Cricetulus griseus: one gene and its partners. The protein of the gene in region 1 interacts with the protein of each later gene in a pairwise test. Links are inferred from orthologs where the notes say so. Each region holds a gene or a part of one and is shown in the gene's direction. Other genes may lie near its edges. The genes, in order: Arrb1, glycine N-methyltransferase and Mapk9.

Region 1 (7,858 bases):
TGAAAAACAAAACAAATCAAAATTATTGCCAAATTCAAGGACATGAAGATTTGCACACTTAATAGTTTCTTTAATTGTTTCATGGCAGTTGCTTTTACATTTGGGTCTTTGGTCCATTTTGAGCCAATTTTGTATATGGTGTGAAGTAGGGGCCTCACCTCATTCCTCTGCATGTAGACTTATAGCCCCTCTGTTATTTGCTGAAAAGACTATTTTAGCAGGTGTGGTGGCTCCCACCCATAAGGCTGAGGCATGAGAAGCTGGAGTTTGAGACCAGCCTAAGATACATAGAAAGGAAGGAAGACAGACAGACCGACAGACAGAAAGACCGTTCTTTCTCTTCATCACCTTGTCTTAGCTCTCTTGTAAAAAAATCATAAAAATGCCACAATTTGAATATAGATAAATACAGATTGCCACAAATATGTAGGTTTATTTCTATACTATTAATTATCTTTTATTGATCTCTATGTTGTCAGTACCACACAGCCTTGATTACTCTATCATTAAAATAATTTATTGTTTTTATTAATGTGTTTGTCTGTGTACATGTGTGCAGATGCTTGAAGAGGCCAGAGGAGTCATACCCCTGGAGCTGGAGTTACAGGTGGCTGTAAGCTGCACGGTGTGGATACTGGCATTAAACTCAGGTCTTCTAGAAGAGCTGTGTGTGCTCTTAAACACTGAGCCATCTCTCCAGCCCCCTTAATCACTGTATCTTTGTAGTAAGTTTTGAAGTTGAGAAGTCCAAGCCTTCCAAATTTGTCCTATTCTTTTCAGGATTGTTTTGGCAGTTCTTCTCCCTTGCATTCCCCTGTGAATTTCAGGATCGGTTTATCATAGGCATTCTCCTTGTTGGGTTCCAGCTGGTCTGCTGCTGTAACACATGCCTCAGGATTCCAAATTTTTTGTTTGTTTTTTCGAGACAGGATTTCTCAGGATAGCTTTGGAGCCTGTCCTGGAACTCTCTCTGTAGACCAGGCTGGCCTCCAACTCAGAGATCCACCTGCCTCTGCCTCCGAGTGCTGGGATTAAAGGTATGAGCCATCATCACCCAGCTCAGGATTTCAAATTTTACAATCATGTATCTGACAGGACTCAAGCCTCTCTGTTTGTACTACCATGTAGCAGAATATCCAGAACATTGCTGAATTTAGCAGCCACAGAAAGACAGTGTGGTAGGCAAAGCAATGCTTTGTCCCAAGATGTCGGGGTCCTACTCCTTGGGGCCTCTGAATGTTGTGCTATGTGGCAATGGGTAATGATGGTTGCAGATGGGCTTCAGGCTGCTAATCCGATGACCTTAAAACAGAGAGATCATTCTGGATTACCCAGATGGTCCCTGTGTCATCTCAATGGTTTTCAAAAGGAAAGGGAGGGCAGATCTGAGTGATGCCGTATATAATGAGAAGGCCACCTTCTCTCATTGACTTTGAAGATGGAGGAAGGAGGAGGCTTCCAGAAGCCAGAGAGAGTAGGAAGCAGATTTGCCCTAGAACCCCCCAGAAGTAATCAAGGGCTGCTGACACCTTGATTTTAGCTCAAGGAAGCCCACTTGAATTTCTGAAGCACAGAACTCTAGTTAAGTTTGTGTTGTTTGAAGCCACTGAATTCGTGGGACTTTGTAAATAGCAGCCACAGAAAATGAGCTTGAAGGGTTTGGGGACCCATGGATGGTTCCTTCTGTGCCTCTGGCTGAAAGTGGCATGTGACATTTGCACCCGCATTTCATTGGTCAGAATAAGCCACAGGGGGGCGTCCAACTCCACAGGAAGGAAGATGCCTGGCATCCCATACATCCAGCCTCAGGGAATCCTGGTGCCTGTAGGGAGTATCTAGTACATCTTTGTTGCCTGTAGCACTTGTTTCTATAGTCTAGTCCATCCCATTTCATTAAAAATCAAAAAATAAAGCCAGGTGTAGTGGCACTTATGAGGCTGAGGCAGGAGGATCTCTGAGTTTGAGGCTAGCTTGGTCTACATAGTGTGTTTCAGGATAGCTAGAGCTACATTTGTGAGACCCTGTCTTGAAAACAAACAACCAACCTCAAAATATAATCAGGCATAGGAGCGCATGTCTTTAATCCCAGCACCTGAGAGGCAGAGGCAGGAGAATCACTGTGAGTCTGAAGCCAGCTTGTTTGTATTTGAGTTCCAGGACCCTGCCTCAAAAAAAAGGATCTCTGTGTATGTACGTACTGTATGTGTATGTGTGCGTAGAGGCTAGAGGTCAACTATGGATGTCTTCCACTATCATTCTTCACCTAATTTTTTGAAACAGGGCCCATCACTAAACATGGAGCTTTCTGTGAACCCAGAGCTCTTTATGTAGGCCAGACTGTGTGGCCACAGAAGCCCCCGGGATCTGCCTATCTTTGCCTTCCCAGTGCTGAGGTTACAGGTGCAGCCTGCCACATATAGCTTTTACATGGGTACTGGGCATCTGAACTCAAGTCCTCATGCTTGTGAAGCAGGCGATTTATCCACTGAGCCAGCTCTCCGACCTGTAATGTTTTAAGTAGGTTTCCTAATCAACCAGTGACTTGCAACCTCTGGTTTGGACAATACTAATCTCCAGAGCCTCTTCTGCTCATGCTTCATGGACCACAGGCTATGTCCTGGACACAGGTGATTGGGCCAGGGGGTGGGGTACCTAATCAAAGCTGACCAATCAGATTCCTCTCCTGGGAATTTGGAATTGGGCCATTCAGTCAGTTAGCAGCGGGAAGCTGAGTGAGAGGCAGGGTAGAAACAGGGTTGGAGTGTGAGTCACATGCGAGCCCAAAGGATGGAGGAGCAGAAAAATCCCTGAGTAAGCGGGGCGCGCTGGTCCACAGAGACAATGGAGCAGCCGCACAGACAGCCTCGCAGCCAGGAGGCCCTGCAGCAGCCCCAGAAGGAGCGGTGGAGACAGGGAGCTACGGCTTGAGGCTCCGATGGCGTCCCCATTCTCAGCTCCGGCCCCAGCGCATCCTGCCTGCTCATCCTTCCCGTGAGATTTTGGCCTCCTTATTAGGACCTCCTCTTCTTTCTCGAGCTATCCTGAACCTTAACCAGGAAGGACACTGCTGGTCTTTCTCTTTGGGGAACCCAGCTGTGACTAAGGCTCAGGTTGTGGGGCACAGGCAAGGCTGGGGGTGAACAGACGCAGCTGCTCAGCAAGGCTGGCTGGGATTGTGGGCTTAGGTTAGGCCACGGGCAGAGAGGTCTATGCGGTGTTGCACACGTGGGGTTGTGGAAACGGAAAATACCCCATAGAGCCTCTTTTCTGACAGTGTTGGGGCAAGAAGTGAGTGGAGTTTTGAGTGGTGGTGCTTGGCTATGTGATGGAGTGGTTGAGTCTCGTGGGTGCCTCTTCGAGCCTCAATGTCTCCATCTTTGAAATGGGATTGTCCAGGAAGAGCCTTGTCCTGGGAAAAGTACTTAAAGGCATGAGTGGGGAATAATAAACAGACAGAGAATGAGGCAGCTGCTCTTGTTGTTTGAGGAAGCCACAAGAGTCCTGGCTTCCTGAAGGAGGTGGCCTCGGGTGCTGACTAAGGTAGTGGCAGGACATTCCCCACTGATGGCTGTGCTTCCTGCCCCTCTTCAGCCCCACTCTGCCCCTCACCCCAGTCACCTTTCATTTATCCCTCTCTCCCTCCCCTCTTGTCTGTTCTTCCTGCCGTTTTGAAACATGGATTTAGGAAACAGTGGGTTGGATTAAGGCACCAATCTCTGGAGGCCCAGTCAGAAGTGAGTCTGGGTCCCGACCTAGCCCCTTGCTTGCTGTGCTCCTGGGCAAGTTAATGCATCGCTTGGAGCCTCCAGTTAATTATCTGTGGAGTGGGAGTTAGACTATCCTTTCTACTATGAGAAATAATGAGCTGCTCGGCAGAGCTTTAATTCCCCTCCCCTTTGCCTCTCTCCGCTGCTTGGTGAATATTGCTCCTCCTGGCCCCACGTGTGCCTCGTCCTTCCCGGCAGCCACTAGAGTGGCTTTCTCTCTCAGTTGTTTATCCTGCCTGGGTGTGAGATCTTTCCTTTTCCTTAGAGCACAGGCTACCAAGGGCTGGAGGTAATTGTGACTTGGAAGCCACAGGGTTTTCACTTCTCTGGTTTCCTGGAGAAACATGGAGCTCCTAGCTTCTAGCTTGGAGTTGCTGGTTCAGATGGAGTGGTCTGCATTTTTTTCCCCTTACTTTAACAATTATCACACCCTGGCCAGTTGTGGCTTCTTCACACTCCCAACACTGATAAATATTAATGAGAAGACAAGGCTCCCAGGGCCCCTAGGGGAATGTTTGGGGAGAGGCTGGGCCACGCTCTCCTTTGCAAGCAATACTCAGACCTGTCAATATTCCCTAGGTCCCAGAAGGGAGGGTGAGGCAGGGCCATGGCTGTGGAGACCCCACACAGTCACAGGCCTGGATGCCTGCAGATCAGCTTCTGGGAAGGATTGGGGCACACCCTGCTGAGGCTGCCTAGGGGTTTCACCTTTCTGGGTCTGTCCCATCTCTCCCTGCTTCAGGCTTTCTGATTCTTTCCCTGGTTTTCTTCTCCTCCTGTCTCTTGTTCATCTTTTATTTTCATACCTCTACCTCTGTCTCTCTCTTCTCTCTTCACACCTCCCCTCCTTTCAATACCTTTCCTCATCCCCATCTCTCTAGCTTTCACTTTTCTTCTGCCTCTCCCCAGTAATGGCTGAGAAATTGTGGGCTGGATAAAGGTACTTAGGCGAGGGAGACTCGGGTTCCCAGACACAGCTCTAGAAGGGGAAAGGTTGCCATGAAAGGCAAGTGGCACTCTTCAGGATTTAGGGACTACATTACCATCTAATCTCAGGCCCAGTGCTCTGCTATTCGAGCATAGGCATCTGCCCCCACATTCCTGTGCCTCTGTCCCTCAGTGAAGCAATGAAATTCATTCATTTATCTGTTCAACTAGTTTATATTGTACTCTTGCCACCCTCAATCATTTAACAAGTATTTCTTGAACAATAGTGACGTGTGCCTTTGTGTGTGTTTGGGATGTACCCGTGGACAGGAGAGACAGTGGGCATATTTGGAGCGGGCATGCCAGCAGAGCAGACAGGTGGGGCAAGAAGTAAAGTATATGGTCAGGGGGTTGCTGGGAAGAAAGGAAGAGTGAATCAAGAGAAGGACTGGCTGACAGGGGTAGTGGGATTGGGAAAGTGGGCATTTGGGAAGAGTGTCCAGGGTAAGAGAGTAGGGTAGGGGAAACTGGGAGCAAAGGCCTTGTGCAGCAATCACCTGGTGGATAAGGAACGAGGAACAGAGGGGCTGGAGAGCAGTGAGGCTGGAGACTAAGGGAGGGTGGCAGGAGGTGACATAGGGAGGGAAAGAGGCCAGGTCAGATCACTGGGACTTAGCAGGCACTGAAGGATTTTCCTTTACTCGAGCTGGGTGGGCTTGTGAGTCTCCCTCAGCCCACTCTGAAGGATTGAAGGAGGGCTGCAGGCAGCTAACATTCATCCTAGGAGGAGAGGTGGAAGGAAGGAAGCTGTCCTGCTCTGAGGCTTTGCTGGTCCCTGTAGGACACTCAAGGCCTTTATCTATGGCCCTGTCTAGGGTCGCCTGCAAGAGATTGGCTGGGCAGAATCCATTAACCCTGGCTTGGCCTCTCTTTCTTTTCACAGAGTGTTCAAGAAGGCAAGCCCCAATGGAAAGGTGAGTCTGTAGTGTGTGCTGACTCCTCACTGTTCCCACACTCTGGGTGCCTCTGTGGATTAGGAAAGGAAGCAGCATCTCCTGGGAGAGACAGGCACTGTTAGCTGTCTAGGGCTGACACAGCTCTGTCCTGAGGGCCATAGGAGCCCAATGGGATGTGTGGGATGTGGGGGGGAGAGCTCCCTGGAAACTTTCTGTGTGGGCTTCAGGGAGCCCCAGTTGGGGGAGAGATGGACTGGCTTCTCCCAAAGAGACATCAGTGTGAGTGTGAGAAACTGAGGCAAGCTGGCCACTGTGACACCATCAAGTCCCCTGGTGTGAGAGGTCATGGTGTCACCTCATCCATCCATCTTTCTTCTGGGACTCCCAGGGCCTGGGCTTCTTGTTTGCTTGCACAGGCTGTAGGCTGTATCCCATTTTACTCTGTTCAGCAAACAGGTAGTACTGACATCTATGCTAGGTCGGGGCTGGGACTGCTGGGGGTTGGGAGGGTACCAAGATAAGAGAGGCATGGTGCTCCCAGTGTGAAAGTTGATCATCTCACACAGAATGCCAAGTGTGAGATTCTGGGATGCCCAGGGACTGGAAGACCTTGCCTGGGATGTGTGTGTCAACCATGGCTTCTTCTGGAGGTGACACAGTTCTAGGCAAAGCTAGGTGAAGAGGGGGATCTCTAGGGTTGAGCATAAAATCCAAGAAAGTGTGGGGCATCCCAGGGTTGTAAGTCTCCAAGCGAAATGAAGGAACAGTGTAGAGGATGACACAGGGCACATGGCAGTTTCCTGTGGCTGGGCTTAGCAGCTCACACACCCTGGGTTGCCTTCTGCATGTCTATATCTCCATTTGGAGTCCATCGTTAATCATCTTTAACCTCTCCTGCTGAGCCAGGATCAGTCCTATCTTGGATTCCTTGGCAATCTAGGGCCACAGGCATCCCAGACCAGTCAATTAGATTTGGTACTGAGAATGAAATCGGACTGTCATCCTTACCCCTGAGGCAAGGGAAATGGTTAAAGGGTTTTCAGAAAGGCACAGCTGTCTGAAACAGCTGCTTGCTTAGATTTGCGTTTTAGGTGTGGCTAAGGTGATGTGAGCAGCTGGAGGCTACCAAATGTCAAAGGGACTGATGTGGTCTCCCTTGAAGAACATGATGGAGTAGAATGGTCAGGACTGTGGGAAGGCTGAGGAGCAGGGGACGTCTAGGATGGTGTTCTCAGTTCAGTTTTGAGCCAGTAGAATTCTATCTGGCTTAGGGCTTTTCCTTGCTAGCTGATGATTGGGTAGGGAGCTAGCTCCCTGATTCCTCAGTGCCCTAGAAGAAACGTCCTCATGTGAGTAGCTCCCTGCCTAGTTCAGAGTAGGCAGTGCTGAAGAGCCCAGAGCCACATCAACACCTGCACTGAGTACATGGCTTGCCTGCCTGACCCCAGGATGCCCTGCTTTCTTGTTTTGATCTGCTTTTCCTCCAGCCCTCAGTGGGGTTTGGTTTAAAGACCTCCATGGGCCTCGGTATGTTTGTCTATAAAATGGGAAGAATAAGAACCCTTTCATAGGGGGTTGGGAAGCAGAGATGTTTAAAAACTTTTCAAAGGTCTACTATCATTAATATTAGGTTTGGGGTAGTGGGCCACATTTTGCTGCAGTTCCAGTAAGGGTTAGGAATGTGTGTAGGCATCAGTGTTCGCTCCAGGGCAGGGTCCTGTGTCATGCTGGCTCACAGCCACTAACACTCTTGTGCCTCTCCTCTCCAGCTCACTGTCTACCTGGGGAAGCGGGACTTTGTGGACCACATTGACCTCGTGGACCCTGTGGGTGAGTGCTGGGCAGAGGGCTAGGGAAGAGTCCTACCTCCAGAAGGGTCTGGTACCCAGAATGGGTGAGCATGGCCTCCTGCTTCAGGAAGAGAGCTTCTGGGCAGCTCTTCCCTATTCAAGAGAGAGTCCTTTCTGACTGGACAGCAGCAGCCACAGATTATATAAGGCTTATTGTGCAGCAGCAATATCTCCTGCTTTCCAGACAGAATGAGTCAGAGAGGCTCAGCCACTTGTTCCAGGTCACAGAGCTAGTGAGTCGTAGGGTCTGGCTTCTAGCCCCTGGCCCTGCTGTCTACTGGGGAAATTCTTCTTAGGACTTCAGAACTAGGGGGCTGTCCTCACCTACATGGGGCTTTGCTGGAGAGGCTGAGTCACA
Region 2 (7,634 bases), on another chromosome or scaffold:
GGAGCCGGGCATTGGTGGCACACGCCTTAATCCCAGCACTCAGGAGGCAGAGACAGGAGTATCTCTGTGAGTTCGAGGCCAGCCTGGTCTACAGAGCGAGTTCCAGGACAGCCTCCAAAAAAATACAGAGAATCCCTGTCTTGAAAAACAGAAACAAAAACAAAAAAAGTCAAAACTAGACTATATAGTATCAAGTAGCCAGAGCTACAAAATAAGACTGTCCTAAATAGTGGTTCTCAACCTGGGGGTCACAACCCCTTTGGAGCTGAAGGACCTTTTCATAGGGGTCACATATCAGATATCCTGCATTTCAGATATTTACAGTTTATAAAAGTGGCAAAAGTAGCAATGAAATAATTTTTGGTTGGGGGTCACCACAGCATGAACTGCATTAAAGGGTGCCAGCATTAGGAAGGTTGAGAACCACTGGTCTGAAGCAACAAAAGGCCGCCGGCAAGATGGCTGAGCAGGTAAAAGTGTTTGCTTCAAAGCCTGATGGATGGCCTGAGTTTGAGCTCAGGAACCAGCTCTCACACGTCCGTGCCATTCCTGAACACACAATTTGTTGTTTTTTGAGACAGGGTCTCTACATAGCTCTGGCTGTCCTGGAACTCACTATGTAGACCAGGCTGACCTTGAACTCACACAGATTCAGCTGACTCTGCCTTTTTTAAAACCTAAGTAAATAAAAGATGACCATTTAAGATGAATGAAAAAGTCTAGGATTGTTAGATTTGCTCCAAGAATATTTTGATAAATGACATTGGATTTCCTTGAAATTCTCAAATATAATTTCTCTCTCTTCCCTCTGCAGGGACTAATGTAGTCCATCAGTGGCCTTGAGCTTTATGTACCCTAGAATAACCTTGAACTCCTGCTCTCACCCCCTCAGGCTCCCAAGTACTGGAATCACAGGTGTGCACCAACACACTCAGTTTCAGAGTCTGAATGAGCATAGTGTCACAGACCTGTGTGAGGGCTACTGAGCCCCGAGACTGTATTATCTGAGCCTGGACAGAACCATTGAGAATGGCTCTGTACTAACAATAAAAAGTTTTTTTAAAAAAGTGGGCTGGAGCAATAGCTTAACTGTTAATTAAAATCCATGGCTGCAGCTGGACGGTGGTGGTTCACATTTTAGTCCCAGTACTCAGGAGGAAGAGCAGGCAGATCTCTGAATTGGAGGTGAGCCTGGTCTACAGAGCAAGTTCCAGGACAACCAGGTGGACTTCACAGAGGAACCCTGTCTGGGTTCTGAAAAAACAAACAAATAAAAACCAAACAAAACCCAAACATTGCCTGCACTTCCATAGGATCTAGGTTCCATATCCCAGCACGCACATGATGGGGTCTGTAACTCCAGTTCCAGGGGATCTGATGCCCTCTTCTGGTTTCCACAGGCACCAGATACGCATGTAGGACACCGACATCTATGCAGTCAAAACAACCATACACATTACTTAAAAAAGTTAAAAACGATCGCACAATTGTGGGCGTTCTTCCAGCTCCTCAGTTTCACTGCACCCAGCCTTTAGGAGAGTGTTCGGTATAGCTCAGGGATTGGACGGCCCAAACTACTTCAGAAGGCCCCTGGCCTGAAAAGGGATGGGAGGAAGGAGGGGCCTGATGTCACCTAGAGAGACACACGTATCTCCAAGTGGACTCGGTTCTTTTTATTGAATAGACACATCAGCATCTTCGTCAAAGACTTTCTCCATCACCCGGAGAAACAGTGGCCCTTTTCTGTGTGGTGTTCCTTGTGTGGACTATTAGTGAGGGGCACCCTACTGTGCTGGGCGTGGTCTAATTCTGCTTAGCGGGTATTCCAAAGGTTTCTTCCCTTTCCCACTTGGGTAGGGATGGCTTGGGCACTCATTGATTTGTCTTCTCTCGGCTCCTCCTAGCTCCTGGCCGCCCAGCTGCGTTCTATCTGTTCTATCTCACTATGGGGAAACCCAGGTCCAGGATTGCCTGGCTGAGCCATCCATCCCCACTGCGGAGGCAGCCTGGCTCGGTTCCCGGGGCTCCGGGCCCAGCAGGGGCGTATCCCCTCTCTTACCTGCCATTGGCCAGGTGGACTGCCCGGCCTGAGGACTATAAGTGCGGAGCTCGCTCGCTCGCGGCCTGAGAGCCAGGCGCAGGTCAGGATGGTGGACAGCATTTACCGCACCCGCTCCCTGGGGGTGGCCGCAGAAGGGCTCCCGGACCAGTATGCGGACGGGGAGGCCGCACGCGTGTGGCAGCTGTACATCGGGGACACCCGCAGCCGCACCGCAGAGTACAAGGCGTGGCTGCTCGGGCTGCTGCGCCAGCATGGTTGCCGTCGGGTGTTGGACGTGGCCTGTGGCACAGGGTGAGTCCAAGCGAGCTGAGAGGGCTTAGCCAGGACGGCCCGCAGCACCGCAGGAAGGCCAGTGGGGGCGGCCTTCGAGGGCGGGAGCCTGGCAGGCAGCAGTCCCTGCCCTTGGGGTAGAATGGGCATGATGAAAGAAAGCACCTGTCAAAATAGTGTGGGAGGGGGCCGAGGAGACCTGGCCCGGGGCGAGGGTGCAAGCACAGGATTCATGGGACAGAGCAAAAGCCGGACTTCGAGTCAAGCTGGATCCTTGGCCCTAGCGCTGCTCCTCCTGTGATGGCCTCGGGTAGTGTGAACAGACCATGTGTGCCTCGTTTGCACAGCCAAATGCTGTGCCAAGAGTTTGGGTACATGTGTTTCAAACAACAAAACCCATGAGGTAAGTAGTGATTTTCTCCAATTAGTACCAAGGAAGCTCCAATTAGTACGAAGGCCCACATTTGGTGGAGCAGATGCAGACCAGGACAGTTAGTGTCTGTCCCATACTCGGACTCAGCACAGGGCACATACTGCATTTATTTCCAGGAGCCTTGGTAGGCTGAGTTCTCAAATGTACATTTGTATAGTGTCTGGTTCTGATGTTTTTTGTTTTTTGTTTTCCAGACATGGTTTCTCTGTAGCTTTGGAGGCTGGCCTGGAACTCGTTCTGTAGACCAGGATGGGCCTTGAACTCAGAGATCCGCCTGTCTCTGCCTCCTGAATGCCGGGCCCGATTACTTCTTTTTTTAAGTGTTGAGCTGGAGAGATGGTTCGCCACCAAGAGCCTCCACTGCTCTTGCATTACACAGGTGTTCAGTTCCTGGCACCTACATCAGGTGGTTCACAATAGTTTGTAACTCCATTCCAGAACAAAATGCCCTCTTCTGGCCTTGGAGGGCACTGCAGTCACATGCACACATACAGACATGATTAAAATTTAAAATTTAAGCTGGGTGGTCGTGGTCCATACCTTCAATCCCAGCACTTGGGAGGCAGGGGCAGGCAGATCTCTGTGAATTCGAGGCCAGCTTGGTCTACAGAGTTCCAGGACCGCTACAGCTACACAGAGAAACCTTGTCTTTCTGCAGGGGTGGTGTGGTGTGGGGGTGTTTAAAATTTAAATTAAAAATGTTGCTGCCAGGTGTAGTGGCACATACCTTTAATCCCAGCACACAGGGAGACCTATGTAGGTAGATCTCTGTGCACTCCAGGCCATACAAGGCTACAACATGAGACCCTATCTTTAATAGGCTGGAGGGATGGCTTAGCAGTTAAGAGTGCTTAGGCTCTTCCAGACCCAGCGTCTTCCTCTGGCTTCTGCAGACAGCAGGAATGCATATGATGCACATATTCAGACAAGACACATAAAATTACATTTAAATTTTTTTTCTCTTTTGAGGCAGGGTCTCTCTTTGTAGCCCTGGTTATCCTGGTATTCACTATGTAAACCAGGCTAAAAACCTTAAAAACAAAACAAAACAAAACAAAAAAAAACCCCAAAACTTGTTGCTATCTGGTGATAAGGAAATATACTCGTGCCTGGTGGTGGGGTGGCATACACCTTTAATCTCAGCACTCAGTAGGCAGAGGCATATGGATCTCTGAGTTTGAGGCCAGCCTGGTCTACAGAGTGAGTTCCAGGACTACCATGGCTACACAATGAAGTCCTGTCCCCACAAAAAAAAAAAAAAAGGAATATACTCATGGGATCACCTGAGGTCAGTGGAGGTGGCCTGAGACAGGGGGCAGAGGAAAGAACTATGAAACAGTATGTTTGGTAAAATGCCATGTGCATGGCATCCTCCTTGGCCTCCCACTCTCCCGACTGGCCCTCTCAGTCCCTCACCTCTGACCTCATCCAGAGTGGACTCTATTATGCTGGTGGAAGAGGGCTTCAGTGTGACGAGTGTGGATGCCAGTGACAAGATGCTGAAGTATGCACTTAAGGAGCGCTGGAACAGGAGGAAGGAACCAGCCTTTGACAAGTGGGGTATGTAGGTCCAGCCAGAGCCCCAGCCATACACTCCCAGGGCCACTCTTCTCTCTGCCCTGGCCTCTTTTGTGCAGAGTGGGCTGACCATTTTTCCTCAGGGTATAGTGCAGTTCCTGTCACCTTCCTAAAATGGAAGGCTTTGACATCATTTTGAGAGAGCAGGTATTAAGAATGAGATTGCTCTATCTTTGGTGCTTGGGTTGATCTTGGGCATGCTGAGTAGACACTTGACACCTGAGCCACACTGTCACACACTGTCAGCATTTTGTTTTCCCATGTTGCCTGCTCTAGCTAGGTTAGGTTCAAGTGATTTTCCTGCCTCAGGTTTCCAACCAGCAGGGACTAGAGGTGCACACCATATGCAGGGTTCTGTACAACTTTTACCTGTCCACAGCATCCTGTCTTTCTTAGCTTTTCCAACAATGGTGCTCTCCCATTTCATCCTCCATGTCCCTAATGAATCCCCTGTGTCCCTGGGTGGAGATGGCTGATGCTGTACTGTCATGCCACTGATTCTGTCCTCCTTCCCCGGCCTCCAGTCATTGAAGAAGCCAACTGGTTGACTCTGGACAAAGATGTGCCTGCAGGAGATGGTTTTGATGCTGTCATCTGCCTTGGGAACAGTTTTGCTCACTTGCCAGACTGCAAAGGTGAGCTTTTGCCTTGAGCTCCACCACTCCCAATGGTGGGTGGCTGGCTGGCTGGCTTTAATAAGGCAGCCCTGCATTTTGCCTCTCTTCCTTAGTGCTGGCAGTTGGGAGGGAGTTGGGAGGGCGAATGGTGCTGGAGGCCCAAGCAGATAGTGTCTGTGGCCCTGCCTGGTACCCAGGTGATCAGAGTGAGCACCGGCTGGCGCTAAAGAACATTGCAAGCATGGTGCGGCCTGGGGGCCTGCTGGTCATCGATCACCGCAACTACGACTACATCCTCAGTACGGGCTGTGCTCCCCCAGGGAAGAACATCTACTATAAGGTCGGGCTGGCCTGAGTGGGAGGTGTGAGCTGGGAGGCCAGAAGCCCCATAGTGGCTTATGGAAGCTAATATAGTTGCTGCCACTGCTTACAGAGTGACCTGACCAAGGACATCACAACATCAGTGCTGGCAGTGAACAACAAAGCCCACATGGTAACCCTGGACTACACAGTGCAGGTGCCAGGCTCTGGCAGAGATGGCTCTCCTGGCTTCAGGTATGGCATGGTTTGGCAGGAATGAGGAGATGGTGGTGGTGGTGGGGGAACTGAGGCCAGCAGCCCTCACGCTTGGCTGGGGGCCCTGTTGCAGTAAGTTCCGGCTCTCTTACTACCCACACTGTTTGGTGTCCTTCACGGAGTTGCTCCAAGCAGCCTTTGGGGGCAAGTGCCAACACAGTGTCCTGGGCGACTTCAAGCCTTATAGGCCCGGCCAGGCCTACATCCCCTGCTATTTCATCCACGTGCTCAAGAAGACCGACTGAAGGTGACTTTGGCTCCAATAAGGCCCCTGACCAGGCAATGGCAGCCTCACCCGAAGACCAACATCTGACACAGATCCTGCAGCTGGGTGCAGGGATGTGGGGTCAGGCAAACGGGCAATCAGCAATACAGTCTGTGCCTTTTTCAATCCTCCTTGTGTTTCTTTCCCAAGTAATCTGCTCTCATGGTGTCCATCCCCTCCCCTAGACCTTACTCCTCCCAAAACCTTGCCCTTTGCAAGGCAACCTCTCACAACACCAGCAGGGGCAGTACAGACTTTATTTTCTGTCATAGAACTGGTGCCTCAACACCAATTCCCCAGGCTGCCAAGCTCCCAGACTGCCAGGCCTGGCTCTCCTTCTAAACACAAGGGCCTTCTACTATGGCTCACAAGGGATCTCCTGGAGGAAGGCAGGCTTCAGGTGACATGGTACAGGTACTTTCAGACATGTGGGGAGATGCAGACAAAGATGGCAGGCAGCTCCTAGCAGGCGGCAAACTTGCGCTGGATGCGCTTGTATCGTAGCAACTCCTGCTCGCTGACTGAGGGCTGCAGCCTGGCTGCAGCCTGCAACAGGTCCTCCATGGTAAGCAGCAGTGCTGAGCTCCCCATCTCTAGCCCTGAGGGGCGGCAAGAAAGAGTAAGGTCAGACACGCACGCACGCAGCTGGAGAACCGAGGCCTGGTCTGTGCGGCACCTTCCTGCTCAGCTGTCCCTCTGAAGTAAACTCAGGGCCAGGCCTGTCTCCCACGAGCTTTTTGGTTCCCATCTGGGGCTGGTGAGTAGTCTCACCTTCCTCTAGGTCTCGAACCCTGCGTTTGAGGGCAGTTGTCATGGCGTCAGAGCAGAGAGAATAGAGGTCTGCACCTGTCAGCTGAGGCGGGCAGCGATCCAGCACGTTCACTAGGCTCACAGAGGCCTCCAGCTTGAACCTGTTACCCATACAGAAATGTTATAGCTGGCTTCAGCTCTCCCCTGAAAAGCCATACTGACTGGCACATCCCCTAGCCATCCCGAGGCCTCAGCCCTGTGACAAAGCATACTTGCGTGTGATGGCGCTCAGAACACGCAGCTGGGAAGCGCGGTCCTCACTTGCCCCTACAAACACCAGCTTGTCGAATCTTCAAAGAGACAGAAACAGGAAAAGTGTCAGGGCTGCCAGCCAGGAGAAGTGAAAGACATACAAAATAGAAGTCAAGAAACAGGCCCAAAGGGGTCTGGTTGAGGAGAGGGACTCAGGATACCCACCTGCCAGGCCGCAGAAGGGCAGGATCCAGGAGGTCTGGTCTGTTAGTGGCTCCGATCACAAATACATCTTGAGTGCTGTGAAGGCCATCCAGCTCAGCCAAGAGCTGAGATACCACTCTGTAGAGAGGAGGCAAAGGCCAGAGTGTCCTTGGTATGCCCTCATGCTGCCAATGCTTCTCTTTGAAGGCTACTTCAGCAAGGACCCTTGCTGAGTTCTGCCCCCTGTCCCTCTCCACAAAGGCAGCCCTCCTTCTCAAAGTTGCACACCCAACTCCTTTTTTGTGTCCATTCTACTAGCCCTGAATTGGAAGGGCAGGTCCCGGATCAGAAGACTAATCTCACATCCCTCCCATCTGGGATCCCAGACTCCATTCCCATTCTGAACCCCTGACCTGTCCATCACACCTCCAGAATCTCCACTTCGCCCCCGGCTTGGTGCTAAGGAGTCTAGTTCATCAAAGAAGATGATGCATGGAGCAGCGGCCCTGGCCCTGGCAAACACTGAGAAAGGAGAGTGGTGTCGAGGAGCTTCAAATCAGGGGAGGGGGATGGGAAATGGGTCTTGACAGTTGAGCACAGGCAGCTGAGGCAATTGCCCAACTGGGT
Region 3 (7,717 bases), on another chromosome or scaffold:
CCTGGAGAAAAGACAGACCCATAAAAGCCTTTATAGACCCAGCTGAGCATGCTGCCAAGACTGTAGAAGTGGCATGGATGGACATTGTGTTGGACCCATGCTGGTGGCATGACATCCAGGTTTGGATGTGTGGCTAATATGGTTGCTTGAGGAATGCTTGTACTTCCCTGCTTGCAAAATGCTTTTTCTGAGCCCCAGTTTATGGACCTTTTACTTAAAATGTCATTGCAACTGAATAAATCCATTAGTAGCTAACTTACCTGTTTTCTCAGGTTGTCTTATGTGTGTGGGTTGGGTGGCCTTTGGCTTGTTCTCAGGCAGCCCAAGTTTAACAGGAGTGGCTTTGAAAGGTTCTTCCTTAGATGATTTTTTTCTTTGCCTAACAAAAGTGCTTTATCTTAATTTTAGAATGATTTTAAGTCTTGGGATTAAGTTATATTAATTCCTGAGCCTAGTCTGATTAGATCTCATCCCCAAATTCAAGGAAGTTAGCCTTGTATCACACTAGCCCAGCTTTGGGATGTGAGCAGCTAAAGGGAGTTGCCAGAGAAAATTGAGATTTGTACCAGTCACAGCATAGGCAGGTGGTCCAGAAATGGGAATGGCGTTGCCCCACAAGGTCAACTCAGTAATCTAGCTGGTGGGCAGTTGAACTGTTTCTAGCATATGGCTTCCATTGCTTCTTTGATCTCAAACCTTTGTTTAAGCCTTTTCTAACTTATTTCCATGTTTAAAGGAAATTTAGGCATCACTGTGTTGAGAAGAAAGTTCTCATTGCAGAAAACTCATCAGGTGGACATTAAATATTAAATGGTGGAACAAGAAAGGCAGGGGTTTAGTAGTGCTATAGAAATAAGCTGGGCAGAGGCAGGCAGATCTCTGGGAGTTCGAGGCCAGCCTGGCCTACAAAGCTACACAGAGAAACCCTGTCTGGAAAAATTTAAAAGAGAGAGAGAGAGAGAGAGAGAGAGAGAGAGAGAGAGAAAGGTAATGTAGAAAAAGATTGTTTATGGAATGTTTGCCTCTATGGCTTTGCTGCTGGCATCTTTTTTCTTTTTTAATTTAAATTAAAAACAATCTTATTTTACATATCAATCCCAGTTCCCTCTCCCTCCCATTGTTGCTGGCATCTTAAAGACCAAAATAATAACTCATTAATTTTTCAGTTAACTTCTTCCTACCTTTCACAGGGTGAGCATATCAGTCACATTTCTCCCTTTTTTAGTCACTGTGATGGAATGCATGACACAGCAGCTTAGGGAAGAAAGGATTTATTTTGGCTCATGCCTTACAAGGGTACAGCCCACCCTGATGGAGTACACAGTGGTATGAGCCTGCTGCTGGGGTTCCTCAGTCTCCACAGACCAGGGAGCCGTTGGTGCTGGAAGCAGTGAAACTGTTACCCTCAAGTTGTCCTCCAGCAACCCACTTTGTCCAGCCAAGTCACACCTCCTAAAGGTTCTTCATCTTCCCAAACAGCACCCACTTCTGAGGACCAAGCCCATTGGGGGAATCAGCCTGCTGTCCAAACCAGAAGAAAACTACTTTCTGAAGCCACTGGTTTATAGCCATATTTGTGAATATAAGTAGAGTGGAGATAATTATTTTACTGTGAACTGTAGCTGAGCTTGGGGTACAGGGAATGAAGGCCAACTCTGGCTCCACCTTCGTGAAACAGGTTCATCTGTGGGACACACACTTCATACCAGTGTCTCTAATCCTCAAGACAGCCTGTTATACTGGCACAGGAGTCTCACTTTGTGGTTCATCATATTAGCCTGGATCCATACACCTAGATGCCCAGTTCTTGCTGTCTCCAGGACCTCTAGAATCAATCATTCTGAAATAATGCTCCATCTCTAGCTGAGATTTCTACACATAAGCTGGTTCCCCAAGAAGGAAATGGATGAGACACATCAGTGACATAGTGGGCTTACCATGGCTGGGAATAATGTGTAAATGTTTTCTGCTGAAGTGGATCTTTCTCCACCCCTTCATACCTGTTTTTCCTGTGAACTCAGCTTTATGCATGCTAGCACTCACTACTGAGCTGTATCCCCAGCTCCAACAATTTATTATAATACAGTCCTTTAAAAATGTGGCCTTCCTGCATCTCAAAATTCCTTTTCAGGGCTCAACAATCCTTTTCAGTGACTCAACAGTTAAGAGCACTGACTGTTCTCCCAAAGGACCCAGGTTCCATTCCCATCACCCACATGTGGCTCACAGCTTTCCAGGCATGCACATACATGCGTGCAGACAAAACACCCAAATGCATAAAATAAATGTTAGAAAAATTTTGTTTTAATTTCTTCTTTTGAAGGTCTTACACCACTGAAATGTCTGGGTTTTTTTGTTTGTTTGTTTGTTTGTTTGTTTTTGTTTTTGTTTTTTTTTGGATGTGCCCTTGCTTAAATTGAGATCTTGGCCAAGCTGATTTTCCCATCTCATAGCCATACCTTTACATTCCAGCAGATCGGACCCACTATGAACTGAGATCCTAGTGTACAATTTGGTAAGCTCATCAGTTCATTCTGTTTCTCTCCTTAGGGATCTGACGAAGGTAGCATCTCTTCAGAATACTGTATGACACTACATCATGAGTGACAGTAAAAGTGATGGTCAGTTTTACAGTGTGCAAGTGGCGGACTCAACTTTCACTGTCCTAAAACGTTACCAGCAATTGAAACCGATTGGCTCTGGAGCCCAAGGAATTGTTTGGTAAGTCTGGGCGTTCTAATAGCATAGACTAAGTCTCTAGTGAAAAGTAAAACTAAATCATAGTTTAGAAACACTGATTGAAAAAATACCCCCTGTTGTAGATTAGATTTTGAGCTAAACTAAATCAATCCTTGCTATAGTTATATACAGTCATTTATAGGATACAAACTCAATTTTTCTTTTGCTTTGTTATTGGTTTTATTTATTTATTGGTTTCTTTTTCTTTGTTTTCTTTTTTATTTGCCCTGTCATTATGATATCAGAATAATTGGTATTCAGTGAGGTGTAACTGGAATTTGGCGTTTTATTCATTTCTTCATCATGGCCACCTTCTCCCCCCTCCTCCTTTTATTCCCAATCACTCCTATTCATTTCCAGGCGCCATCATTGCAGTGCCTTGCCATTCATTGGCAGGATGAGGCCAGGCAGTGTCATTATCACACCATGGATTAACCAGGAAGGGATGCTGTGTGAGGGGTTGGGCTGGCCGTCTCTTCTTTGGTGTCTCTCTTCAACTATGTGTCCAGCCCAGGACGTCAGAACCATTGGTCTGACCCTGAACCTTAGGCTCTTGCATGGTAAGACAGTCAGCTGCTGCGACATCACTGGCCAGACAAAGGTAACGTTTCTCACGTGTTTTCTAGACTACCGTTATCAGCACCTCCCAAACTTTTTAGACTGTAGTTTTTGGATGAGACCCCCCTCCCTCCCCAGTGATAAACAAGGTTTTTTTGTCTTTAAAAAAATTGTGATTACATAAAACATTTAATGTTTACAGCTGGTAGGCAAAGAGGATTGAAAATAAAAGTCCTCTTCTGGGCATTCCAGGAGGAGAGTTTTGGTTTTCCTGTGAAGATGCTGAGCATGGCATCATCAGTGGGCTTCAGCTGATACTCCACTGCAGAGACTCTGATCAGGGAAATCTGCTGTTTTCCTTAATGTAGGCAACTGGGGAGACCTGGGTGCTCAGAGAAGAAACTAGGGAAGAAGGTGCTACATGGAGGGAGTGCCAGCTGTGAGCACATAGTGGGGTGTTAACTTCCAAGTGACAGTGAGCACTAGTACAGGCAGAGTGTCCTTTATCTGAACTGCTCGGAAGCAGAAGTGTTTCTGAGCTTAGATTTTAACTTATTATTATTATTATTACTATTACTATTATTATTTTTTTGATTTTTTGATAGAGGGTTTCTCTGTGGCTTTGGAGGCTGTCCTAAAACTCACTCTGTACACCAGGCTGGCCTCCAGCTCACAGAGATCTGCCTGCCTTTGCCTCCTGAGTGCTGGGATTAAAGGTGTGCACCACCAACGCCTGACCTGAGTTTAGATTTTTGTCACACTTTTCAATATTTGTATTTACTGGTGGACATCTGTAATCCTGAAAAATGAAATGCTCCAAAATCCAGTACTCCGAGTACCACAGTAATGCTCAAAAAGCTTCAGTTTTGGAGTGCTGAGATTTTGAATTTACTCTGAAGATGATCAAACCAGATTTAAACCCTTGTGACAAGAAAGGTTTTAAAGTCAGTGGGATGGCTCAGGTTGTAACGTGGGTGGTAATAGAAAGTAATGAGTGTTTATTTGATATGTAAACTCTTTCTTACTTGGAATTAGATAGTAATTTGACAAGAGGATGGAGGAAGGGGGGATATGAATTATCTTGGAGGGAGGTAGACAGAGCATCCATATTAAATATGGGCTTCATTTATCCACTGGGTCCATTATTGACTTGTTTTTGAAGTTTAAAAGTGAAGTAGATAGTATATAGTATATAATTACACAAGATCTGCCCTGACAGTCTCTGTATATGTGATGTAGTTGAGGACTAGCTCATTGACTTGTTTTTGTCCCATGGGTTTAGGGATAGATCTGGGTCTAAACCACCTGTTGATCTCTTGGAACTTTATTGCACTTAGTTAGAACTTGATGACTTGAATCACTGACCAGGACTCTGACCTAATTTTTGTTTAAAATCTTAATAACAATGACCAAATCAATATTCATTAAATACCTCTTTAGAAATTCTCAATGAATTATATCCATCTCCATAGGTCGATTACATCCAAGAACTGTTTAGGGCTAGAGAGGAGGCTCGGTGGTATAGTGCTTGCATAGTATATGGAAGTACTTGGGTTCCTTGCTAGCACCAAAAACCTACATACATATGTAAGCATACATACATATGTACATATATACATACAGACACTCAGATATATGTGTATGTATATACACAGGTATATGTATTCATACATATTTGCATATATATACACACACCCATGTATACATATGTATACATACTTTAATTTTGTAACTGACAGTTTTATAGTATGTTCTAATATAGGAAAGTAAAACCTTCAGAAGTGATTGTACTTGTCCCCCACTTCCTCTTTTGTTTTTATCCTTTGCCCAGATGTATGGTATCAGTTAGGATAGGGGAATGATCTGGTAATGGTACATTCCTATTAAAGCAAAACAAAAAGTTTACTTTTGCTAAAATAAGTTCAATATTGGATAAGCTGCTACCTTGACAATAGGAACTGGATTTTCTACCACTTATCATTAAGAGCTAGCCATTTTTCTATTAATAGTCTTAAACTTTTTGTTAGCATTGTACTTGTACATTAAAAATGTCCATTGGGGGCAGGAGAGATGGCTGAGAGGTTAAGAGCACTGACTGCTCTTCCAGAGGACCTGAGTTCAATTCCCAGCAACTACATGGTGGCTCACAACCATCTGTAATGAGATCTGGTTCCCTCTTCTGGTGTGCATGCATGCAGATAACTGTATTGTAATAAGTAAATAAAATCTTTTTTTAAAAAAAGGATTAGATTAAAAAAAATGTCCATCAGTGAACCTTTGGGGGTGTAATGGGCAAAATAATGGCTCCTTAGAGATAGCTACATACTAAGCCTAGACTTCTGTGCATGTGTGACCTTACAGGACAAAAGGAACTTTGCAGCCTTGATTAAATTAATGATCTTAACATTCAAGTTCTGGAAGCAGAACTACTATAAGTGGCAAGTCAGGCTGGACCACATAGTGAATTCAAGGCCATCCTGAGGTACAGAGTGAGACCCCGTATAGAAAACAAAGCAACAGATCAGTGAGCTTGAGGTGGGGGCCCGGCCAGTGTAATTGGAAGTTGTTCTTACAAAGGGGAGTCTGGAATGTCCTAGTCAGAGAAGGAAATGGGACCACAGAGGTGGAGTGCTGTGGGATGAGAATGCAGGAAGCTTCTAGAAGCTGGAAAAAGGAAGGAAATGGATTCTTCCCAGAGCTTCCATGAAGGTCACAGCTAAGCTGATCTTAATGTTAGCCCCTTAGGACTAATGTTGGACTTCTGAACTCCAGAAGTGTAAGACAATAAATGTATGTTGTTTTAAATCAATAACTTGTGGCCATTCAATAGCCACAAGAACAGCACTGGAAACTAAGAAGCAAGTGTATTTTTACAGGTTTGAGAAATAAAATGTGTTAGCACCACTTCGTGGTTTCTAACCTAGTTAGTTTTGTTAAACTAGACCATTGTATACATAGGGCTAGGTGTGCACCAGAGCCATGGTGCTCTACAGAGTTAAGTATAAGAGCTGGAGCCAGGATAAAATATTCTGACCCCTAATTTAATTTTTGGTTTTGTTTGCAGTGCTAAACATCAGATTCGGCTTCAGATGTGCTGGGCAAGCCTCTGTTGTCCAGCTGCGTTCCCAGACTTTCCCCTCCTGTTCTGAATTGTCTTTACAGTTGTTGGCTTATTTGATTTGTTTCTGTGTTTTTGTTTCTTAGAAGATGATAGGAAAACCTATTAGGAAATAAGTTTTTAAATATTATCATTTTAGAGCTTAAATGCCTACTAAGTTATATATACTGTTGAGATTTAGTGTATACTTTTCCTTTCTCCTTCTAAAATCCCAAGTTGTTCAGTCCAAAATGTAAACCTTTGGTTCTATGACATGCTTACCCCTTTTCTTAAGTTTTTAATATTGGGTCTGGCAGTTCCTAGGAGTAGCAATCTTAATGCAAAATAGTGCAAAACAATCTTAATGCAAAATAATGAATATAGATAGATCTTATATGCTTTCCTTTCAGCTTTCTGTAAGCATGAACACTCATCTCAAATTGTTTTAATTACCTCTATAAATATAAACAAACCATAAATAATGTCCAGAATAACATGTTTTTGACAAGGAGGTTCTTGGTGTGAAGCACATAATGGCTGTGAGATAGGAGACTTGGGTTCTGAGCTCAGGTAAAGGACTTTGTAATCTTGGGCAGCCCACTGTGTCTTCATGAGTTTTCACATTTTCACCTCTGAAATGATGGCTTGAAACTTCTGACATAAGATGGTAAATCAAAGAACCAAACAAAGAGATTGACAATAATCAGTGAACATTTTTTTCCCCCCCAGACTGGGTTTCTCTGTTTAATAGTCCTGGCTGTCCTGGAACTCCCTCTGTAGACCAGGCTGGCCTCCAACTCACTGAGATCCATCTGCTTCTGCCTCCCAAGTGCTGAGATTAAAGGTGTGTGCCACCACCACTCAGCCAAAAAGTTTTAAATAAATATCTGCAATGTTAAAATAAGTTGGGGGTCTTGATCCAGATAACACAGCAGAGGATGTGAGAGTAAGTAGAGGGTTGATTGTAACTAGAAAGGGAGACTTTCTCCCATGGAACTCCAGGGGAACTGTAAATACCAAGACCAATTTGGGGAGGAGGCTAAAGCCAGGAAACACATCTATGAAACAGATTCTAGTTTGCCGACAGCATTCTCATACTGTCCTTCTCCATGCCCAGCCATTGCCCTTAGAAAGCTAGGAAGTTCCTAAAGAGTCAGTGCCACATCATTCAAGCCTAGTATAGGAAGCCCAGTGTTTGGGGCTGACTGTTTCTTGGGATCATTTGAATTCTGAAAGGGACTGCTGGAACAGTCCTTGTGGCTGGAGAATAGAAATTAGACCCTGAGGCTTTCTACCAGGCCCAGAAAACTCCCTCTGCTCTGC

Evidence for each region.
Region 2: the proteins of Arrb1 (region 1) and glycine N-methyltransferase interact in binary tests that used the Homo sapiens proteins (3 or more experiments, as listed by UniProt). The link is inferred for Cricetulus griseus from reciprocal best matches to the Homo sapiens genes ARRB1 and GNMT.
Region 3: the proteins of Arrb1 (region 1) and Mapk9 interact in binary tests that used the Homo sapiens proteins (3 or more experiments, as listed by UniProt). The link is inferred for Cricetulus griseus from reciprocal best matches to the Homo sapiens genes ARRB1 and MAPK9.

What each region holds. Positions count from the first base shown.
Region 1 is NC_048596.1:99,977,848-99,985,705, reverse strand, and holds the start of Arrb1 (beta-arrestin-1), read left to right. Parts: upstream 1-2,713; 5' UTR 2,714-2,935; coding exon 2,936-2,991; intron 2,992-5,637; coding exon 5,638-5,668; intron 5,669-7,419; coding exon 7,420-7,480; intron 7,481-7,858. UniProt on the Homo sapiens protein: Functions in regulating agonist-mediated G-protein coupled receptor (GPCR) signaling by mediating both receptor desensitization and resensitization processes.
Region 2 is NW_023276806.1:256,141,709-256,149,342, reverse strand, and holds the end of glycine N-methyltransferase, read left to right. Parts: 5' UTR 1-2,147; coding exon 2,148-2,353; intron 2,354-4,197; coding exon 4,198-4,325; intron 4,326-4,867; coding exon 4,868-4,978; intron 4,979-5,157; coding exon 5,158-5,300; intron 5,301-5,393; coding exon 5,394-5,515; intron 5,516-5,609; coding exon 5,610-5,781; 3' UTR 5,782-5,956; downstream 5,957-7,634. Other genes in the region: Pex6 (peroxisome biogenesis factor 6), read right to left, coding at 6,264-6,400, 6,573-6,712, 6,824-6,901, 7,029-7,145, 7,421-7,529. UniProt on the Homo sapiens protein: Catalyzes the methylation of glycine by using S-adenosylmethionine (AdoMet) to form N-methylglycine (sarcosine) with the concomitant production of S-adenosylhomocysteine (AdoHcy), a reaction regulated by the binding of 5-methyltetrahydrofolate.
Region 3 is NC_048600.1:64,315,864-64,323,580, forward strand, and holds the start of Mapk9 (mitogen-activated protein kinase 9), read left to right. Parts: upstream 1-2,532; 5' UTR 2,533-2,599; coding exon 2,600-2,721; intron 2,722-3,099; exon of another isoform or gene 3,100-3,296; coding exon of another isoform or gene 3,297-3,340; intron 3,341-7,717. UniProt on the Homo sapiens protein: Serine/threonine-protein kinase involved in various processes such as cell proliferation, differentiation, migration, transformation and programmed cell death.